Oryzias latipes: one gene and its partner. The protein of the gene in region 1 interacts with the protein of each later gene in a biochemical or structural test. Links are inferred from orthologs where the notes say so. Each region holds a gene or a part of one and is shown on either strand. Other genes may lie near its edges. The genes, in order: eed and ppp1r8.

Region 1 (9,891 bases):
TTTCAAGAGTGGCTCTAAGCGTGTAGAGTGAGTCGGAAGTTTTTGAATTTACAAATACTCATGTTAGCTTAAACAAGAACACTTCTAGATAAAGCTAATGCCAAAGACAAGTCTGCATGTGTAGTGCAGATCTTTCAGGGCAGTAGAAGCTACATCTTGACTTGTGGTGTTTGTCACATGCGCTAGAAAGAGTTCGTCCCTATCAGTTATATATATATGTTAGGACATAGCCTGGAGACGTAGCAAATTTTAAGTTCTTAGCTAGTCGATTTTCCTCAAATTAGCTAACTTTGAAATCGTCTGAATGGGAATTTTGGTTGCTCTGCTCCACTTGTAGGAGTTCCTAGATAGGCGGAAGATGACAGAGTTCGGCAGCTTGGCTCTGGTGGACGAAGGACCCGGGGACGGAGATGGGGTCAACATTAGCCTGCCAGGAGTCAGGAGAGGTACGAGATAAGGTCCAACATCCAGACCAACAGATGGAGAGTTTCCTCCTCTCACTGGGTTTTGCTTTCCTTTTCAAGGTGACATGAGTTCCCGTCACTTCAAGCCGGAGATCAGAGTCAGCTCACTGAGATTCTCTCCTACTGGTAAGTGTCGGGCGCTAGCTTGTTTTTGAGTCCGACTGCATTTACTGTTTCTGTGACCGTTGACTGCTGGCACATCTCAGGTCGTAGTTGGGCGGCCACCACCACCGAGGGCCTGCTGGTCTACTCCCTTGACGGATCGATGGTTTTTGACCCGTATGACCTCGACCTGGACGTGACGCCGGCCAGCATTCGCAAGCAGCTGCGCCTGCAGGAGTGGACATCGGCCATCGTCCTGGCGTTCCGGCTGAACGAAAGCGCCCTGAAGCAGGAGGCGCTGGAGACTGTACCTCACGAACAGAGTGGGTGATTCCTCCGTTGGGTTTTACGAGAACTTTGGAAGTGGCCATCGTGTAGCTTGTCTGCTGTTGTGTCCCCGCAGTCCCGTTGGTTTGCAGATCCCTGCCGGACATCTACGTGGAAAAGCTGCTGGGATTTTTGGCCACATGTTTGGAAAAGTCCAGCCATTTGCAGTTTTACATGACCTGGGCCCAAAACCTACTCATGCTGCACGGACAGAAACTGAAGAATCGGTAGGTAACTTTGGGCCTAGTCACAGAACACTTCAGTGCGGCTAGCTAGTTAGCTCTGGTTCAGAGGTGTGCTAAGGACTGTAGAGCAGTATGGTTGTGACGCAGTATAGACGAAGGTCACATTAGCAACCTTACGATTGCTAGTTGACAAGGTCATGGTCTGTAATCCTTACGCCATCATATCTGAACGTCTGTGGGACCCACAAGCGAAACAAAGATCCTTCAATGTTCTTTTAACGGCGAAGCTTTAGCATCACATTCTTTCATCTGTTGTAACTCTTCAACGTTTTTTTTACGGTTTTATTACAAAAAGAAAAGCAGCTTTTCTCTTAGTTAGCCGATTTACGTTGATTGCGGAAATGGTTGAAGAGTGAAGGCCGTGTCACACAGCTACGACGTACGTATGTTTTGCGCATATTGTATGGATGAAAAGTCGTTATAGGTGGAAAAAGTGAGTTTTGGTCTATCCGTGAAATTTTCACAGATGTATCACGAATGAACCACATTAAAACTACAAAAGAAGTATGAATAAACCACGCTAAGAGCACATCAGTGTAGAACATGAACCGTGCATGATTAATGTGCTGTTTATATGCAACTCATTAGTGATTTGTGCATCAAGTACCTAATTTTTGTTCATACATGCGCCATAAATGCGATATAAAAGCTATACATCGGTGGTACACACGTAAAAAGTCCGTTGTAGATAGCCACGAATTTTCATATGCGTCTCACAAAAATCACGCACAATAGCCTAAGTTTTACATAAAAGTTGCATGTAAACTACGTAAAATACGCCATAACTGCGTATTTCTCAACTGGCCAAAAATTCTGAACAGCTTTAAACCAAATTCACGGACAGACCTGTCAGCAAAAACCCTCAACGGACATCTGAGCACATCGACAAATGACAAAGGCAAGAAAAAATTACGAATTCGGCATATCACGAAACACTCAAATTTTATCCTTGGAAAATTCGCAAAATGTATATAGTGGCTGTGTGTCGCGGGAGGTCTAATGCGACGTTCACACCGGACTTCAAAACACGCATTCCAGGAACCGCTTCCAATAAAAAGTCTATATAAATGCACGTTTTGGGCTTCCAAATTCAAAACTGTTGCGTTCATGCGTCTGTTTTTGGGCTCTACAGGACTCAGATTTGGTAGTGACTAATGTGTAGTACCAACAGTTACCCACAGGTCAGCGCGTTCTTCACACATGGCTGGTGTGTGTACATAGCTTGAATTGCGTGTTAAGTATGTGTCGCCGGCGACAACTCCAGCGTCAACGGGTTATGGTCAAGAACACGGGTTCTACACCACTGATGCTACAGGACAACAAAGTTGCTTGATTTAAAAAAATAAAAAACGAATTGATTAAAACCTTTGATCTGAATCATTTAAACTTAACCGATGTAGAAATATAACTCGGTAGAAAAGTTCAATTATCAAGATACATTTTCTGTTTGGTTTGCAGGTCGGGCTCCATTCTGGCCACGCTGCAGTCACTGCAGAAGAGCATTCAGAGGCACTTTGACAATCTGTCCAAACTGTAAGTCTCTCTTCAGCTTCACAGCCTCATTCAAAACTATGATGGCCCCCCTTTTTTTTTTAAGTGTCGATTCTCCTTCCAGGTGCGACTTCAACATGTACAGCATCCGCTACGCTGCTGCCTTGTCCAAACAGAGAGGGATGAAGAGGCCAGCGGCACAGGAGGACGAGGAAGATGAAGGACCGTCAGAGGAGATGAGCCAAGCCTCTTTGGATGACGATGACATGAGGCTTTAGCCGCTTGAAAGTCTCTTAGAAGCAACATTTTATAATAATAGAATCTTGTTTTGTACCTCTTTTAAAAATAAATGTATATATGTGGTGTTAAAAAGTTTGGTTTTGCTTCTCCGATCATTTTTTAAACTATTTTAACATGTTCTTAATGGTTTTTTTAGTGAAAAGTCTGCTGTTTTTAGCTAGTCGTTTTCTAGGACATAGTTTCTGGGAGAGCGGCTAGCTCACTGCCTTTTAAAATCTCCATGTTAGTGCCATTATGCGGCACGTTAACCAATCAGGGACCCAGCTTTGGGTACGTGATGTTTTCAGTGACTCTATCAGTGGATGGAAAAAAATATCTGGTTTGACTGGAGCAATCAAGCCAGCTACGCTACCGGACAGAGTAGTGACCTCCGATGCCCAGGGTCCAGCAGAGCTAGTGGAGCTCTCTATGTCACAGGACATTATTTAGGCCCTTCTGCAAATCTATTTATGCAGTTTATTATTCTGTGCTACAGGCATTGGACTGTGACTACACGATCCGACCTATCCGTTGCATTGAAGTTTTCGCATTTCCTCTGTTTAGGGGATTTTAGCCACCTCATACCTTTGACAAAGCTGTGACATCGACTCAAAGTCATTAGACTTGGCTCACAAATGACTGGTAAGTCCACTGTGCTTTGTTCCGAATTGAAATTTAAGGCTGTGTACAAATTCCTTCGCTATTCACGACTTAGTGCACTACATAGTGCGTTCGCTGCCGTTTGTACTGTCCGGATGTACAATTCCCAAATCGAGTGCCCTAGAAATCTGCCAGAAGTCTGCGAAAAACCAGTGTAGATCAATATTCACTAGATTGGCAAATATAAACATTGCATTTAATTTTTTTTGCGAAAAACAGTTTAAATGTATGTTTTTAATAAACCAACATTTTCATCATTGAACATGTGCGAAGGCTATGCGCAATTGCATGCTTTGCTGTCTTTATATTTTCTGTCACTACTACAAACTTTGTCAAATGGCAGTTTTTCGTGAGCTCCCGATTCACTATTTGAATAAAGAAATACTCAAATGCTATTTTAAACTATATTTAATTTCCTTTTTGACTACTACATTATCAGAAAAATCCTACAAAAACATGTTGAGAACAACATTTTTATCAGAGTGGGTCTTTCAAGGAAAAGAAGTGATAAGTGCGTAAATAAATTTCTGTCAAATGCTCAATATTGTGTTTTTTTTCTTTCCAAAATTTATAAGTTTTTGTCATCAAAATGCCAGCCAACTTTTATTTAGCTCATTCACGTCGTGTAAATTACGTCATTTTAAAAAACATTTTTTTGAACACAAATGTAACCATAACATTGATAAATCACAGGAAAAATTACATTTCTTTTTCTTTGTTTCCCGCTTATTGACGGGAAGGTCCATTAAAAACCCCCATTCCCAGCAGCCCTTGCGGCAGCGCACCGGAAGAGGCGGGACCCTGTGCCGAAAAATGAGGGAAAATAAGAGCATGTCCGAGTCCCCGTCGCAAGCGGCGAAAGAAACACCGGCGGCGAAAAAGCAAAAACTAAGCAGTGACGAAAACAGCAACCCCGACTTATCGGGAGACGAGAATGTGAGCAGCCGGTACCGGACTGTGTGTGTGTGGTTTTTTTTTAAAAACGACGAATGTTTAATCGCGCCGTTCACGTTAGCTTCCTGCTAAATTAGCAGCTAAAGCTAGCATCTTTGTCCGTTTTGGTTAAACACCTGTAGATGTGAAACTCCGTTGATTACAAAAAGCAGCTTCATGGTCACAAAAACAACAAACAAAACTAAAAGGTTACGTACATTTCAGCTTTGGACACGAACATGCTTTACTTTGAAATTAATTTTGTAGCTAGCTTGCCTTAGCACGAGCATCCTAGTGTTTTTCGGCCATTTTATAAAAAAAAAAGATTTCTTCAAGTAAACCTAAGTGATTTCGTCTTCAAATAAGGCTCACACAAACCGTTGTCCTAATTTTTTAGTTAGATTTGAAGTCCTCAACGTAACTAAAAGGCTAAAGCGAAAATTATTTTATATTGCTTGTATTTTTGTTGCATATTGTGTCCTATTTACATGTATTTAGAACTTTAAATCAATACAATTACCTGTAAATTTGAGAAGAGCAACGGAAATTTTGAAACAAACTGTGAAAGATGGAAAATTTTCAATTTCGTTTTGCAGCTTTTATTTTGAAAATTTTCAAATATTGTGCTTTTATTATGAAAAGTGAAATGCATGATGGAATGGATTTGTTTGAGGACTTGTATGTTTCTGAACAAAAAAAACCCTGACATTGCGTGTACAGGACGATGCCGTTAGCGTGGAAAGCGGGACGAACGCGGAGCGCCCGGACACGCCCACCAACACAACCAACGCCCCGGGCAAGAAGAGCTGGGGCAAGGGCAAGTGGAAGTCAAAGAAGTGTCGGTACTCCTTTAAATGTGTCAACAGTCTGAAGGTGAGTCCACCCCCTGCTGGCCAATCCGACGTTTGCAACGCTTTAAAAAACGAACTGACAATAAAATGGCGATTTTCCTCTGACCGAGGTTCAGGAGGATCACGGACAGCCGCTGTTTGGCGTCCAGTTCAACTGGCACAGCAAGGAAGGAGACCCACTTGTGTTTGCCACCGTTGGGAGTAACAGGGTAATTTCTCCCTCATGTTGATCCAATGTTTGTTTTAATCACGCAAATCTGTGCTAGCATTTTGAATCCAAAGATCGTAAAATTGACCGTATATTAGAACTGAACCGAGTCCATGTCCGAACAATTAACAAAAAATTATATAGTGCAGGACTGTCCAGTGCCTTGGATTTTAACGAAATCCGAACACTTGCTAGCTACTTATTAAAAAAAATTATTAAGTACGACGTCACCTATTTCCTCAAGTAAAAAACAAATAAGGATGAACGTTTTACGATTGTTCTGAAGACGAAATCATCGTCCAATGAAAAAATGTACTTTCTCAAATCCAGTTTGTGCAATTTCATAGTAAATGGAAAGGCAGCTAGTGATGTCTTATATAATATAGCAAATAATCATTACAGTTTTGTTTGAATGTTATGCCAAAGCTTGATCAGTTTTTCGGGACCCTAAAGTTGTTTGTTTGTTTTTGTGCAGGTGACTCTGTACGAGTGTCACTCTCAGGGAGAGATCCGACTCCTACAGTCCTACGTTGATGCGGACGTATCCTTCCACCTTCTGCGGTACAAACTAGTCCTTGGTGGGCTCCGGAGCTGGTCGGGGTGCGTGTTGCTGTTTTTATATGAAGCATTGTCGTTTACGACACACTTTGAAGCTTTGCGGGACTATTTTATGTCAAATGTGGCAAACAAGCATGGAGGAAGATGATCACATGCAGCATCAATGTCAGCAAGATGACCAGCCAATTCAATTACGGAAGCTCGTACCTTAAAATTGAATATTTATCTGTAGAAAAGCAACTTTTGTCACTTTCTTTTGGGACCAGCAGATGCGCTTGATGTTCTTGTTTTTTAACGCGACAGTGCCCCCTGGTGTCTGGTTCATCCTAAATATGAATTCTTGCTGTGTTTACTGATCTAGAGCCTATTTTCTGTAGTCGGTCAATGCTTTAGTTCCACTTTGGGGAACTAGGATTGTTGGGCATTATGGGTAGTGTAGTCAGGAGCCTGACGGAGTGATACGTGCACATTAAATAGACAAAGTGCACATGGATAACCACACAATTGACTAGAAAAACATCCCATCAACACCTTTGACCAATCGCCTTCTTCCTGCCCTTTCTACGCATTCTGGGTTGTGTAGTTGTGTCGTTTTTTATTCCTGACAAATGTCTTTCGTTACCTACACAAGAACCACAACTAAAATTAGAGAACATTAATGAGTTAAAGTCGTCCATTGTGATGTCATAGCACTCATGGACCACAGGGCATGGAAGCGTCCTCCACTGACATAAAACTACAAGAAAGGTTGTGGCGGTCTTACTGTTACCGAAGTTAGCCACTGTTACGTGTTAGTAAAGTATTAATAACAGATAATTACATGAATTAACCGGATGAAATACCATGGGCATGTTTTTAAATAAAACTAATACATAATTAATAACTAATTTATAATATTTCCATGTTAAAGTTTCATAAAACTATTGAGTTAATTAACTAAATTGCTGAGTCATTTTTTATCTGTTGTCGGGGTGTATCGCCCTAATCGGACCACACAGACTCTGCAATCCCATCCTAAACTGTAAGCACCTCCCAGCTCCAGAAACTTTCATTGGAATTGCAACGTTGCTATCGGTTTTCCTTGACTAACGCGCTCCCGAGGCGGACGAGAACTTCTACACGTGCGCTTGGACCTACGACACCAACACCAGCCACCCCCTCTTGGCCGTCGCCGGCTCCCGAGGCATCATCAGAGTGATCAACCACATCACAATGCAGTGCATCAAGGTAAACCCGCCCGTTACGACCGCTTAACAGGTGTTTTGGATGGAGGATTTCAGAGGTTCTGTTGGTTGACAGCATTACGTGGGCCACGGGAACGCCATCAACGAGCTCAAGTTTCACCCGAGGGACCCCAACCTCCTTCTGTCTGTCAGTAAAGGTAAGACGGTTCGTCAGGAGTTTATTGAACCAAACCCCTTCTGAGTCTTTGATGAAGGATCCTTGGGGTCCTTGATGCCAACGGGCGGGTCTCTATCTCTGCAGATCACGCTCTCCGGCTGTGGAACATCCAGACCGACACGTTGGTGGCGATCTTTGGAGGCGTGGAGGGGCATCGAGATGAAGTCCTGAGCGCCGTAAGCTTTGCTGTTTTAAAAACTCCCAGAAGAAAGCAGCAAAGGGAAAATAAAAACTGTTCTGGGATATTTATGTTATAGTTTTGTCAAACATAATCTGTTTAGAAATAAATGCAATTTTTGCTCTGTCTCCTATTAGCACTAGCAAGCCCCGCCCTTTGTGTGACTGTTTGTTACAGCGCTACCTCATGCAGCAGTACCCCATGTAAAGGAGCGTTAAAAACTGTAAAAATGAAACCAGAGCAATCGCAGCAAAATACAAATCCTAAAAAGTAAAAGGCAGAGCTTAGATCCCTGTGGTACACCATGATGTATACATTCCAAATGGCATTAAGCACTACTTATAGGACTAAACATGGTGAATTAGCTCATGACTAATCTGAGTTGTGATTAGCGCTTTTTTATATGTTGTTTATGGATTTAAACATATTTAGCTGAGTATCATCTGCAAAAAAACAAATGACATTTTTTTTCTGTGCTTCCCATTTGTGCTAGCAAGCCTCGCCTGCGCCTGTTTTGACTGTTGGTTACGGCACCACCTCGTGCAGTAAATGACCGTTAAAAACTAAAAATAAAATGAACGAGAGCAATCGATAATATACATATCCTAAAAAGTAAAAGGGCAGAGCTTAGATCCCTGTGGTACACCACGATAGACAAAGTCCAACTTGCATTAACCATTAAAAACATATGGAAGTAAGCATGGAGAGTTAGCTTATGAGTCTCTGAGACTTGCTTGTTATTAGCTGGTGGTTGTAACTCATCTTTTGGCGGCTCCTCTTAGTGGTCGCCACAGCGAATCACCTCTTTGCACAGGTAGTTTTGGCAGAGATTTCCAGACGGGCTTCCAGACACGACCCTGGATTTTATCCAGGCTGTGGACCGGCACAGGGAGACTCCTCATTGTTACATAAATTAGAAACTAGCATAAAGGGTCATTCCTAAGGACCCGCAATTGATAAAACTGTATTCATATTTATTTCTAGGTTCTAACATCATGTTAGTTTCGCATCATCTGCATAGAAATGAACAGACTTGCTGTTCCACCACCTATTGGCACTAGAAAACCTCTCACCCTGTGACTGAGCATTAAAAACTGTGAAAATCAAAGCAAAGAGAGCGAACAAATCATATAAGCAGGGGTCAGCGCATAGAGCCCTGTGGAACACCTATTTTACGTCTTAAAAAAATGAATGAAAACTTACGGGAGTTAGCATGACATTAGCTTCTACTGAGTTCTCCCTCGCAGTCTTAAAATGGTCCATAGAACTTTTCCAAGACTTAGACGTGTCACCGGGTTTAACGTGATAAGAGCTCACAGTCCAAAGCGTGGGAAAGTAGCTTCTCGCCAAAAAAAGGCAATTATCTGAGATTAGTAGACCTTTGTGTCTGGATCCGGATTATGATTTTAGAACTTTCAGAACCGTTAATCGGATTAAAAGGAGATCAGTCTGCTTTGGAAGTGAAAAAGTGCCCCCTTTTCTGCAGGATTTTGACCTTCTGGGTGAGAAGATCATGTCCTGCGGGATGGACCACTCGCTAAAGCTCTGGAGAATCAACTCGGAGAGGCTCCAGAAGGCCATCCGGGGTTCCTACGAGTACAACCCTTCAAAGACCAACAGGTGACGCTCCTCTTCATCGTCGCCGAGATGCTTTGGTCCCAGCTAAAACAAATCCCGCCCACAGGCCTTTTGTCTCCCAGAAGATCCACTTCCCGGATTTCTCCACCCGCGACATCCACAGGAACTACGTGGACTGTGTCCGGTGGTTGGGAGACCTCATTCTGTCCAAGGTTACGGTCCAAACTGCTGGTTCTGTTCACCTAATATTGTCCAAAAAATAGTTTGAAAATACCTTTTTTTTTTTCTTGCAGTCCTGCGAAAACGCTATTGTCTGCTGGAAACCGGGGAAGATGGAGGACGACATCGACCACATCAAGCCCAACGAGTCCAACGTGACCATTCTGGGCCGCTTCGATTACAGCCAGTGTGACATTTGGTACATGCGCTTCTCCATGGACTTCTGGCAGAAGGTCAGTCTAAGAACTTTTCACGAAGGTTAGCTCAGCGTCGTCTGCATAGAATGACGGCGTTCTTGTGTGCCCGTCCAGATGCTGGCTCTGGGGAACCAGGTGGGGAAGCTGTACGTCTGGGACCTGGAGGTGGAAGACCCGCACAAGGCCAAGTGAGTCACGGT
Region 2 (9,793 bases), on another chromosome or scaffold:
CTTCAGAGTGTTTTCGGGGCACAATTGGTGGAGACTCGTCAGTTATGTCAGCCTGTAGGAAAAGAGGAAACGGTAAAGGAAAAAAAAAAAAAGGGAAAATAGTACCTGACCTTTTTCTGAAAGATTACCCAACAGTCACATTTGAAAAAGGTATGGTGTCAGACATAAGTGAGGTTTACTGTGTACTGTAACAGAGAAGCTTTTTGAACATGACTGCCACAGATCCATACTTACTGGAGGGGGTGGAGCTGGTGGTCTTCGCTTGTTAGTTAAAGTCAGATTACTCATCTCCTCGGTCGGGGTGGCCATCTCCTTTCGGTGTTTGGTTTTATTTGTTTTGCTTGTTTTCTTTGTGCTCTTTCCCTTTTTGCTTGTTTTTTCTGAAGACATGTTTCTCTTTGGCGGCCGAGGCGGGGGAACTTCGTTTGAGCTGACCTGCTTTCGAAACTCATAAAAAAAGGACTCGGTCACCTCAATGACCTTTTCTACGCAACATTTGGGAGGTTGACCTTCAGGCCACAGCAAAGGGTCCTTGGTGAAAACGACGTTCACGGAAAGCCACTGGATTGGGATCTCAAAACAATGTTCGGGCTTTTCGAGGAGGCTTGCCTGGATGACGGGCTCCGAAATAATTCCCTCTAACCGGAGACATGCAAACGCCGACAGTGGATCTGTCTCCAGTTCTGTATCACGACTCACCACCTTCACGTCCAGTGGAAAGCTACAGTTCTTAACCAATTCGCTGAGTTTGTACTTTTTATTATCAGGAAGTATTTCCACAAAGTGCCCTTGCATATAAAGAGGAAGAAAAACTTCATCTTTACTATCTTCCTTTTCAGCTGCCTCCACGTCGCTGTCTTCATCGTCCTCCTCGTCTTGCTCTTGCAAGCGTTGGCATAAAAGAGCCTCAACAGACTGCTTGTCTCCTTTGCTGTTCTCAGGAGATAACTCCATTCTCGTGCAACTTAGAATCTCCAGTTTCTCCCCAACACTGAGGGAAGGAAGGCCCTCCGCCACGTCCTCCTCACAGTTCTTTGTCACACTGACGTTCAGGCAGGGTGTCTGAGTTGAAGCCACGTACAGCTCATAGGCCGAGTTAAACTCTCTCGGTCTTTTCCGAAAGCGTCCAGTGTACTGCTGACACACGAGGAAGTACTGCTGCGTCTTTCGGCTCTTCGGGGTGGACACCATTGTGAAGGATTTTGTCGTTCTCTTGTGTAAAACCAAGCTGACCCCTTTGTTGAGCTCTGCTATCCATGTGCTTTTGAACATGTAGCCATTCTCTGGGCCATCTATGATCTCCACAACCGCGGGGAACATTTCGTCCGGCTGAGACATGACTTCTGTCAGACTGAGGGGCGCCACAAACTCTACATCCTGGCATGTGCTGGTGACATCCACCACATCTATCTCTAAACTGGATAGGAAATTCATCTCTTTTTTTCTCACTGTAGGGGAAAAATTGACAAATGTTAGTGAGAGACATGTGAAAAGAGGAAAGTCCATAAAGCTAAATAAAGATAATTGTTTCCCTCTTACGGCTTTCTAAAGAGTAAACATTAGTAAAATGATACTTAAAATGTTTCTGAGCAAAGATATTAAGATGTTTTACAAAGATCCATTTCTATAAATGTTGTTTTCGATTTGATCAATCCACATTCATAGTTTGACGAACTTCTCATTTACCACTCAGCTATGAAAATAAGGAACCAAAAAAATCCAATGTAATATGTAAAGAAGTTTTTCTTACTACTCATGATGGCCTGGATCTGATATATAGGAGAGAAGATTAAGGGTCGCTGACACTTGGCGGTGTTGCTGAAGCGAAACCTTCGACTGCGCAGTGATGGTGAAGACATGATCTCCTGGAGGCTGAAGTTTTCTTCGCTCTCGCACTCATAAAACTCCCCACGGAAAGACGTAGGAATGCACACTTCTGCAGAGGTCTCTTGTGAACCTTTGAGGTGGCATCGCACTTGGTCCTCTTGGCCCTTCTGCTGTTCGATTGAAAGCACAGTCAACACTTTCCCAGCCCCGAGGGTGAGATCCCCAAAGGTCATCTTAGAGCGGTTGGTGAAAGTGAAGGGAAGGCAGGTATCCAAGCTGACGGGCCTTAAACTCAACATCTCTTCGAGCGAACTGTAAGGCATCTCGTCTGGTACCACTTTGAACAGACCTAAAAACAGAAAAAAAATCAGCAAACTGCAGCAGACTAAACATTTTACTCAAGTGCATCTCAAACCAACCTTTGTGATTGATTGGCAACTCGAACTTTTCATCGTTGGAAACATCCTGACAAGAAACTGAGTGGAGCTCCAATCCAATGATCTTTATCAGATCACCGGTAGAGAAGCACACTTCACTACCAGAGAGTTCATACACAGAACCTGAACAGAGAAAGAAAGAAACATGATCCTTATAAAAGTTTAACATTTTTACTTAATGCAAATATGATCATCACATAAAATGCTTCATGAATGAGACCAGTGGAAGGAAGGAGGGAGGCACATACGCTAAAACAGGCTGAGAATGTTGAAATCCAGACGCAGTAGAACGTGTTTTAGTGCCCGCAGTTTCTGTGTTCCCTTAAACTTCTTTAAAATTTATACTGAAGTCTTTACTTTTCAAAGAACCAAAACCCCACAAGGCTTACCTTGAAAATACACTCCAGAGCACACTTGCAGAATCTTTGGCAAACTGGCCTTGTCCAAGGATGCAAAGTATTCTTGAAGCGGCAAAGCGATGGCACCTGCCATTGCTGTTTCTGTGCTGCTCTCAGAAATGAAAGCAGGAGGTAAATGACAAGCACAGCAAGAAAACAAAAAAAAAAGGAGATGCTCTCGCATCTAAAAACCACAAGAGTGAACAAGGAAGTTAAGGGAGTTATTTGCACAAGTTGTGCACACTGTGGTAAAGGCAGTGAGATATGACTCAGGTCTTGGCTCACAGACAATGTTACAGTTGTTGCAGCTTAATAAAATACACCACAAAGTGAATAAGAGTTTTTACAGATGTCATATATGCACATGAATGTGTGAGAGACAGAATCTGAGAAGAACAATTTCTCCTCTATCAATGGAACAAAACATAAAATGCATTCTTTCTGAATTAAAAATGTTCTAGAAGGACTAACTCTACTGCAATGCCTAAACCTTAGAACTCGTTTTATTTTATTTTACTGTATGCAAATGTACTTGGGTAAGGAAAACTGGATTTGGATGTGTGACACATTAACTAAACATGTGATCTTTACCCCTTTTGCAAATTATAGACGGAAAACATTTCATTTTTGGTTGAAGCCTTACATGTCTGAATCAAATGCAGTTAAAAGTTGTGTCTGCACCCCCTCTTTATGGATCCAGCTCACAGCGCTTTTCTGAAAATGTCTATCATCCTTTCTGAAAGTTCACTTCTGCTTCAGCTTTACACTTTATGCCATCTGTAAACAAAACTTTTACCATCTCCAGCTGACTAACAGAGGTCAACGCTGAACATATTTTTTTATTTAAAACATAGAACTCTAAATGGATCCAAGAGAGTCAGTTAATTTGAGGTAACCCCCCCCCCCCTTCCACCCACCTCAGGCCTGACCAAAAAAGCAAAAACCAGAAGGAGTTCACCCACTCACAAGCAGAAATAGATACAGACACAACTTCAAGCCCCCCAACACAGAATCCCACACATGTTGACCAATCATTTATTTCCAAGAAAATGTTTCCATTTTCAAATTAAGAGTTTAGAGACCTCTAGTGGTCTTTTGTAATTGAATTCTTCATGTTTATTAGGCAGCTTTACAAAGAAACATGCAAATCAAATAAAAAATTACTTGAATTATAACTGTTTTTGTTTGTTTGTTTTTCAAAATATAATATGATAATGTTTTTCATTAGTTAAGTATTTAAAAGTTACTCCCAAACCACTCATCATCTTGAAAAGAAACATTAAACATACAGTACAGACCAAACGTTTGGACAAACCTTCCCATTCATTTGAATGAGAAGGTGTGTCCAAACTTTTGGTCAGTACTGTAGTAAGAAGAACATCTTTCCTATGGGATAGATGGGGAGGCATGTGGTCGAGGGTTCTGCTGTGTAAACCATGAAGAGAAAAGAGAAAAGCTAACAAAAAAAGTCATTTTTGTCATCAAATATTTTTTATAACTTTTTCTGAGTCCCATTACAGGACTGTTGTGAAATTAAAATTAATGACATTATTATTAAAATTAATCTGTATATTTTTAATTAAAATATTACATTTTCTATGAATGGATTTAACACAAGTAAATCAAAATTGAACTTTTTTTGTTAATAAATCTTACAGTGCAATTAAGTTTTAAGTGAAGATCATTTGCCAAAAAAAAAAAAAAACTATTTCAAAAGTTTTACTAAAAAAGAATAATTCCCTGTATCCTGTACAAATCTGACGAATATTGCAATATGGTAAAATTATTATTAATATTATTACTCTTACTATCATTATTATCTCTGAACGACAACTCCCGACATCCCAATGTTTTGTTTACCCAGCATGCATTTTGGTTGCAATATGCTAAAGCAAGATGGCGACTAAAACAGGCAAAGACGGTCCTCCGCCTTTTGATTGTCCATCATGGTGAGAAAACTTACTTATTGCAGAACAAACTAGAAATTTGTAACGCGTTGCTGGATGTGCATTTGCAAAGCTATTTGACCTGTTCATTTGTGCCTTTTAATGCTAAGTAGAAGTCTGTAGTTGCAGTTGCTAACATTAGCTAGGTTAGCATGGTAACCCTTAGCGTTGTTGGCGTCAATTAACCAGAAGGGCTAGAAATTATTTATTCGAACGGGGAAAGCCGTGTTCTTTGTATGAGTAGAATTCACGTCCAGATCAATTAAAAATAATTATTATTATAAATGTGGAAAATATTTATCTTTAAAATATTTATTCTTGAAATAGCTAGCGCGGAGAGAAACATGTAAAAGACATTTGAATTCATTTATTGTAACATTAATTTGTGCATGATCCATGTTTGTTTGTTTTCCCTAAATATTGACAGTAGTTGATCGTCTGTTTACAGGGCAGGCAAACCCCCCACGGGGCTTCATCTTGACGTAATGAAGGGAGACAAACTGATAGAGGTAATAATTGAATGAAAATGTGCAGATGTTGGTCCTGTTATGCAGTAATATGACTGCTTATTCTGCTTTTGTGCCTTACTGTTGTTAAATCATGTATCGTGTAAGTCCATACATGCACCCATACACGAGCCTGACAGTCTGCTCTGTCCCTGATGTTTGAACATCAGGACAGGTCTGTGGCTGCATGGCTTCCAACGGTGCTACAGCAAAATCAGCCGTGAGGTTTAAGCTGATCAGTGGAAGCGACACTGATGAGTTATGACTCAGAGGTACACCTGTACTGTTGAAGCCATACTTTATGTGTGACTGACAGAAAAAACATTCTCTCTTTTCTATAGAAATTGATTATTGATGAGAAGAAGTTTTACCTTTTTGGGAGGAACCCCGACTGGTGTGACTTCACCATCGACCATCAGTCATGTTCCCGTGTTCATGCTGCCTTAGTCTACCACAAACACCTAAAAAGACTCTTCCTTATAGACCTCAACAGCAGTAAGGGATCGCTTTTAGTCCTACCTTTGTATTTGATTTATATTGTTGGAAGAAAGAAACGGTACACAAAGCAGAATGCAATACTGAAGCATTTTAATCATTTAGGAATTGAATACATTCTGCCATCACGTTTGATACATTTACGAATATTAAATCATATGAATAGAGTTAAAAGGATCACCACAGCTTCAACATCCATACACATTTTGTTTGTTTGTATTTCATGTGTTGTGATGAAATCACGGATCGTATCACTGAAAAATTTAGATTTGATCAACTTTCTGACTTTAAAGCAAATATCTTTCCCAATTGCTAAAAGAGTTGGAGTGTACGGTGGTGGTAAAAATTGCATCTTGTTTTGTTGTAGTATTGTTTCATTGTTATGACAGTGTTGCGTTACCTCTTTATTTTATTCTTTTGGGAAACCTTATTTGATTGTTACCCTTTCAGCACATGGTACTTTCCTTGGACACATCCGCCTCGAGGCCCACAAGCCTCAGCAGGTTCCTATAGACTCCACTTTAGCTTTTGGGGCTTCCACGCGAACGTATATCATCAGAGAGAAACCCCAAACCCAAGGCAGCACTAGCACAGGAGACAATAAGACGGGAGATGACGAGGAGCTCAAAGGACTTCTAGGTCTTCCAGAAGAAGAAACAGAGTTAGATGTACGTTATGTTTTCTGATCAATCTTGTTTTCATCTCTGTTTATTCCAGTCTTTTTGCCTGTTGATTCTTGAACTCTGGCTAAATTTGTCAAACTACTAAAGTTTAAGATTTGCTTGTTTGCTTTTATACAAATAGACCTGCATATTTTACTTTGACCATGTGTGCATGGTCAAAGTAAAAGTAAAAGTAAGTAGTGGCAAGGTTTAGTTTCAGAATACTACTATGTTTTTTCCCACTTATGAATCCTTTAATCCCGTCTACCGGTTGGTTGAAATGTTGTAGCCGCCTTACAAATGTTTGTGGTTTCTGAATCCTGTCAGAATCTGACAGAGTTCAACACAGCTCACAACAAGCGCATCTCGCTATTGACCATTGAAGAAGGCAACCTGGAAATCCAAAGACCTAAAAGGAAACGCAGAAACTCCAGAGTCACCTTCAGTGAAGAGGACTCCATCATTAACCCAGGTACTTACCAGTGTAAAAAATAAAAAACTTCATTTATGAACTTCTTGTTTTTAATCATAGCTGTTTTCACCTCTTGAGACAGGATGAATATTTTTTTGGTAGATTTCCTGTGGACTAGTTCTTTATATATATATATATAAGTTTATGTACTGGTAAATAGTTTTTTGTTTTTTTTGGGGGGGGTGTGTAGTTAATTTCCCTTTTTATTAAAGCACAGTCAAATAATTCTGTCAATGTTGCTTTCTAAAGATATACACCCAAATTTTAGTTTATGAAAAGGCTGAAAAATATTTGTAAAATACATTGATATTACTTTTGCAGTTGTGTCAAAGTGTGTCTATTCCATGTTATTCTCCAGTTATTAGGATTCTCATGAATGTAGATGTGTGAAAACATCTCTAAAAGGCTTTTTCTCCTTTTCAGAGGATATTGACCCCTCGGTCGGTCGCTTCAGGAACATGGTGCAAACAGCTGTCATCCCCATCAAGGTAAACTGTCGAAGGATTTTGGTGATTATTTGTATGAGAACTGGACCGAGCAAGAATGGTTTACTTCCAACAAAATGAAATTAATTAACGTTCAACATGAGACCATAATCTTATATTGAGGCGTCTGATTGGTCAGTTTATAACATGAATAACTTGCATTAAAGAAAAAAAATAAGATTAGCAAGAAGATGTTTTTGAAGGTAAAAAGAGCAAGAATAGTTATTTAATCGATGTGAACATATAGTGTTATAATTTAAATTCTGAACAGACTTTATGCCTTCTGTAAATCTGTAAAAGAAACAAAGTTGTACAGCTTCCAGCTTAACCCATCAGACTAATAGTTGACTTTTTTGTTGTAGAAACGCAGAGCGGAGGGCCAAAACACTCTGGGACTGGACGAGCTGACAGCAAAGCGCATGCATGGCTACAGCTTAGGTGGTGGTCTGTATGGGGACTTGCCTCCCACCAGTCATGAAAACCAGCCTACAGGAGCGCCCGGGGGTGCTGCCATGCAAGGAGGACTTCCTTTGCCCTTCCCAAACCCAGCGCCGGAGGTGGACCTGGCCCCAGAGGCTCCTCACCCCCCAATTTCTCTCAATCCCACGCCCGTCACAGCCCCGTATCTACCAGAGACCCTCAACGAGCCACGCAAAAAGAAGTACGCCAAAGAGGCTTGGCCAGGCAAAAAACCCACCCTTTCGCTACTTATCTGATGAGTTCTGGAAAGCTTCTTTCTGCCTCTCAGGTTACCAGAAGATGGGCCAGTCACTGTGACCTGGCAGAGATGGAGCCATTCACTTCTATTTACCCCCCATCAATTTATAGTGTTACTCATCGTCAAACAAAAGTGCAGCTTACATTTTTACCGTAGGTCTGCCTCACTAGAATCCACTCCTATTAATAAACAGTTTGGTTGTTTGTAACTTTTTTTGTCTGGAAATAAAATCCACCTAAGTTTAAAAAAAATCTTAGCAGTTAGTGCATCAGTTGAAGAGTGGCAGATAGTTGTCAGTGACGGGTGTGGAGTCACCGCAATGTCCATGGTAGTTCCGATCAGTGTGAACTTTTTTTTTATTTCTGTTTTGTTGGTTTTTCTGTTGCTATTCAAGCAAATGTGCTTTTATAGACCACACCAAACTGAGAGGTCAGGAGAGAATACATCTGTAAATGGATATTTTGGAAAAATGCAGGGCTATTCTCTTTATCTTTTTTTTTACTTGTACTGTTTTAAAATGTTTTTACATTTCATTTTTGTTTCCAATTATCCCGATTCTGTGTATTAGATCTTTTATGGACTAGGTGTTGTATTCTCCTGGTAAACCAGTAGGTGGCGACTCAAACAAAGGATTCAGATTGGTTTGAAGTTTGGCTGCAAGCTCTAAAGTGATCATTTGTCTGATCTATTGCACCTGAATCTAAGTAATCATCAAAGGAATATTGCAAAGAATTGTTTAATTCTTAAAAGTTTTGGCATTTCCTGGTCCAAACAATACACAACTCAACATATTGGACTTTTTCCTGGGATTTGAAATGGGTTATTCCATTTTCTTTTAGCTAATGACAGAATTGTGTAATCAATATTGGTTGGACTGAAAAATCCTTGGACATAATGGTTTGAAATCTGTTTTACTAACAATAAACCTGGTCATAAACTTTAACCTGTAACAGTTTACACGGCTTAACTAACCGAAGAAAGCCAACTGCGTCTGAGCACACAGGAAAAACTGCTGAAAGATCACAAGATTCTGGAATACCTTAAACTGACTTTGAAGAACTATGTGCATTCAAAGTTGTCTGGGCTTAAGGTGCATAACGTTTAATAATTTGAAACAGTATAATATTTCCCAAAAGGTGGTTTTTTTTTTATGTCTGCCAGTACAATCTATGAGCTTCGAGTCGACTCACTCAGACCTGATGCAGCAGTGATTTTGGAGATTTGGTGAAAGCTTCAGGTCAGTGTGAGTTCACATACGGGCAAACAGTTTTAAGAAAGATGCTCCATGTTATTGGATGAATAAGTAGTTGGCGTCCTGCGTCACAGCGTCCAACTCCTAACAGATATACAGATTTCAAGAGATTAAAAAAAAAAAAAAAAAGACATTTCTTGCGTCTTTAACTGTTGACTTTTTGTCAGTTAAGTGTCGATTTTGTAATGACTGTAAATAAAAAATACTTTTTAAGCACTTTTGCTTCTTTTGTGATTATGTTTGTTAATGCATCCTTAAACATGTTGGAGAGGGTTTTTCAGGATTAATTGGAACACTTTTAGACATTTAAAACTTATTTTTTTCTGTGTCAACATAGCCGTGGAAAGTGAACGCAGCCTCTGCAGCATGTTGCACTTCATTCATGTCTCAAAATACAATCTTGAGCACATTTTACATCACTAAGCTCTAGGTTTTTATTTATTTATTTTGTATGCAATGACTTGTTGAATTTCCAACTTCTGATAACGTCTTGCATTGTTTTATGAGCTGGTCTGAAAGGAAGTAATGTGGGTCAAGTGTGTGTCCTCTCTTCACCGACACGTAAAGAGAGGAAAGGTGATGAGGTTTATAGAGA

Evidence for each region.
Region 2: the proteins of eed (region 1) and ppp1r8 form a complex in vitro, tested with the Homo sapiens proteins (2 studies listed by BioGRID). The link is inferred for Oryzias latipes from reciprocal best matches to the Homo sapiens genes EED and PPP1R8.

Annotation. Positions count from the first base shown.
Region 1 is NC_019860.2:2,257,328-2,267,218, reverse strand, and holds the start of eed (polycomb protein EED), read left to right. Parts: upstream 1-4,354; 5' UTR 4,355-4,381; coding exon 4,382-4,504; intron 4,505-5,221; coding exon 5,222-5,374; intron 5,375-5,462; coding exon of another isoform or gene 5,463-5,468; coding exon 5,469-5,561; intron 5,562-6,035; coding exon 6,036-6,101; intron 6,102-7,219; coding exon 7,220-7,345; intron 7,346-7,417; coding exon 7,418-7,499; intron 7,500-7,603; coding exon 7,604-7,695; intron 7,696-9,183; coding exon 9,184-9,317; intron 9,318-9,381; coding exon 9,382-9,487; intron 9,488-9,568; coding exon 9,569-9,727; intron 9,728-9,805; coding exon 9,806-9,879; intron 9,880-9,891. Other genes in the region: periodic tryptophan protein 2 homolog, read left to right, coding at 338-446, 525-590, 671-889, 970-1,120, 2,597-2,671, 2,754-2,907. UniProt on the Homo sapiens protein: Polycomb group (PcG) protein. Component of the PRC2/EED-EZH2 complex, which methylates 'Lys-9' and 'Lys-27' of histone H3, leading to transcriptional repression of the affected target gene.
Region 2 is NC_019874.2:22,800,166-22,809,958, reverse strand, and holds ppp1r8 (nuclear inhibitor of protein phosphatase 1), read left to right. Parts: upstream 1-4,511; 5' UTR 4,512-4,558; coding exon 4,559-4,611; intron 4,612-5,056; coding exon 5,057-5,117; intron 5,118-5,229; exon of another isoform or gene 5,230-5,368; coding exon of another isoform or gene 5,369-5,386; exon of another isoform or gene 5,387-5,394; intron 5,395-5,455; coding exon 5,456-5,609; intron 5,610-6,059; coding exon 6,060-6,277; intron 6,278-6,598; coding exon 6,599-6,743; intron 6,744-7,166; coding exon 7,167-7,231; intron 7,232-7,590; coding exon 7,591-7,944; 3' UTR 7,945-9,333; downstream 9,334-9,793. Other genes in the region: protein THEMIS2, read right to left, coding at 1-52, 235-1,448, 1,751-2,176, 2,247-2,387, 2,654-2,846. UniProt on the Homo sapiens protein: Inhibitor subunit of the major nuclear protein phosphatase-1 (PP-1). It has RNA-binding activity but does not cleave RNA and may target PP-1 to RNA-associated substrates. May also be involved in pre-mRNA splicing.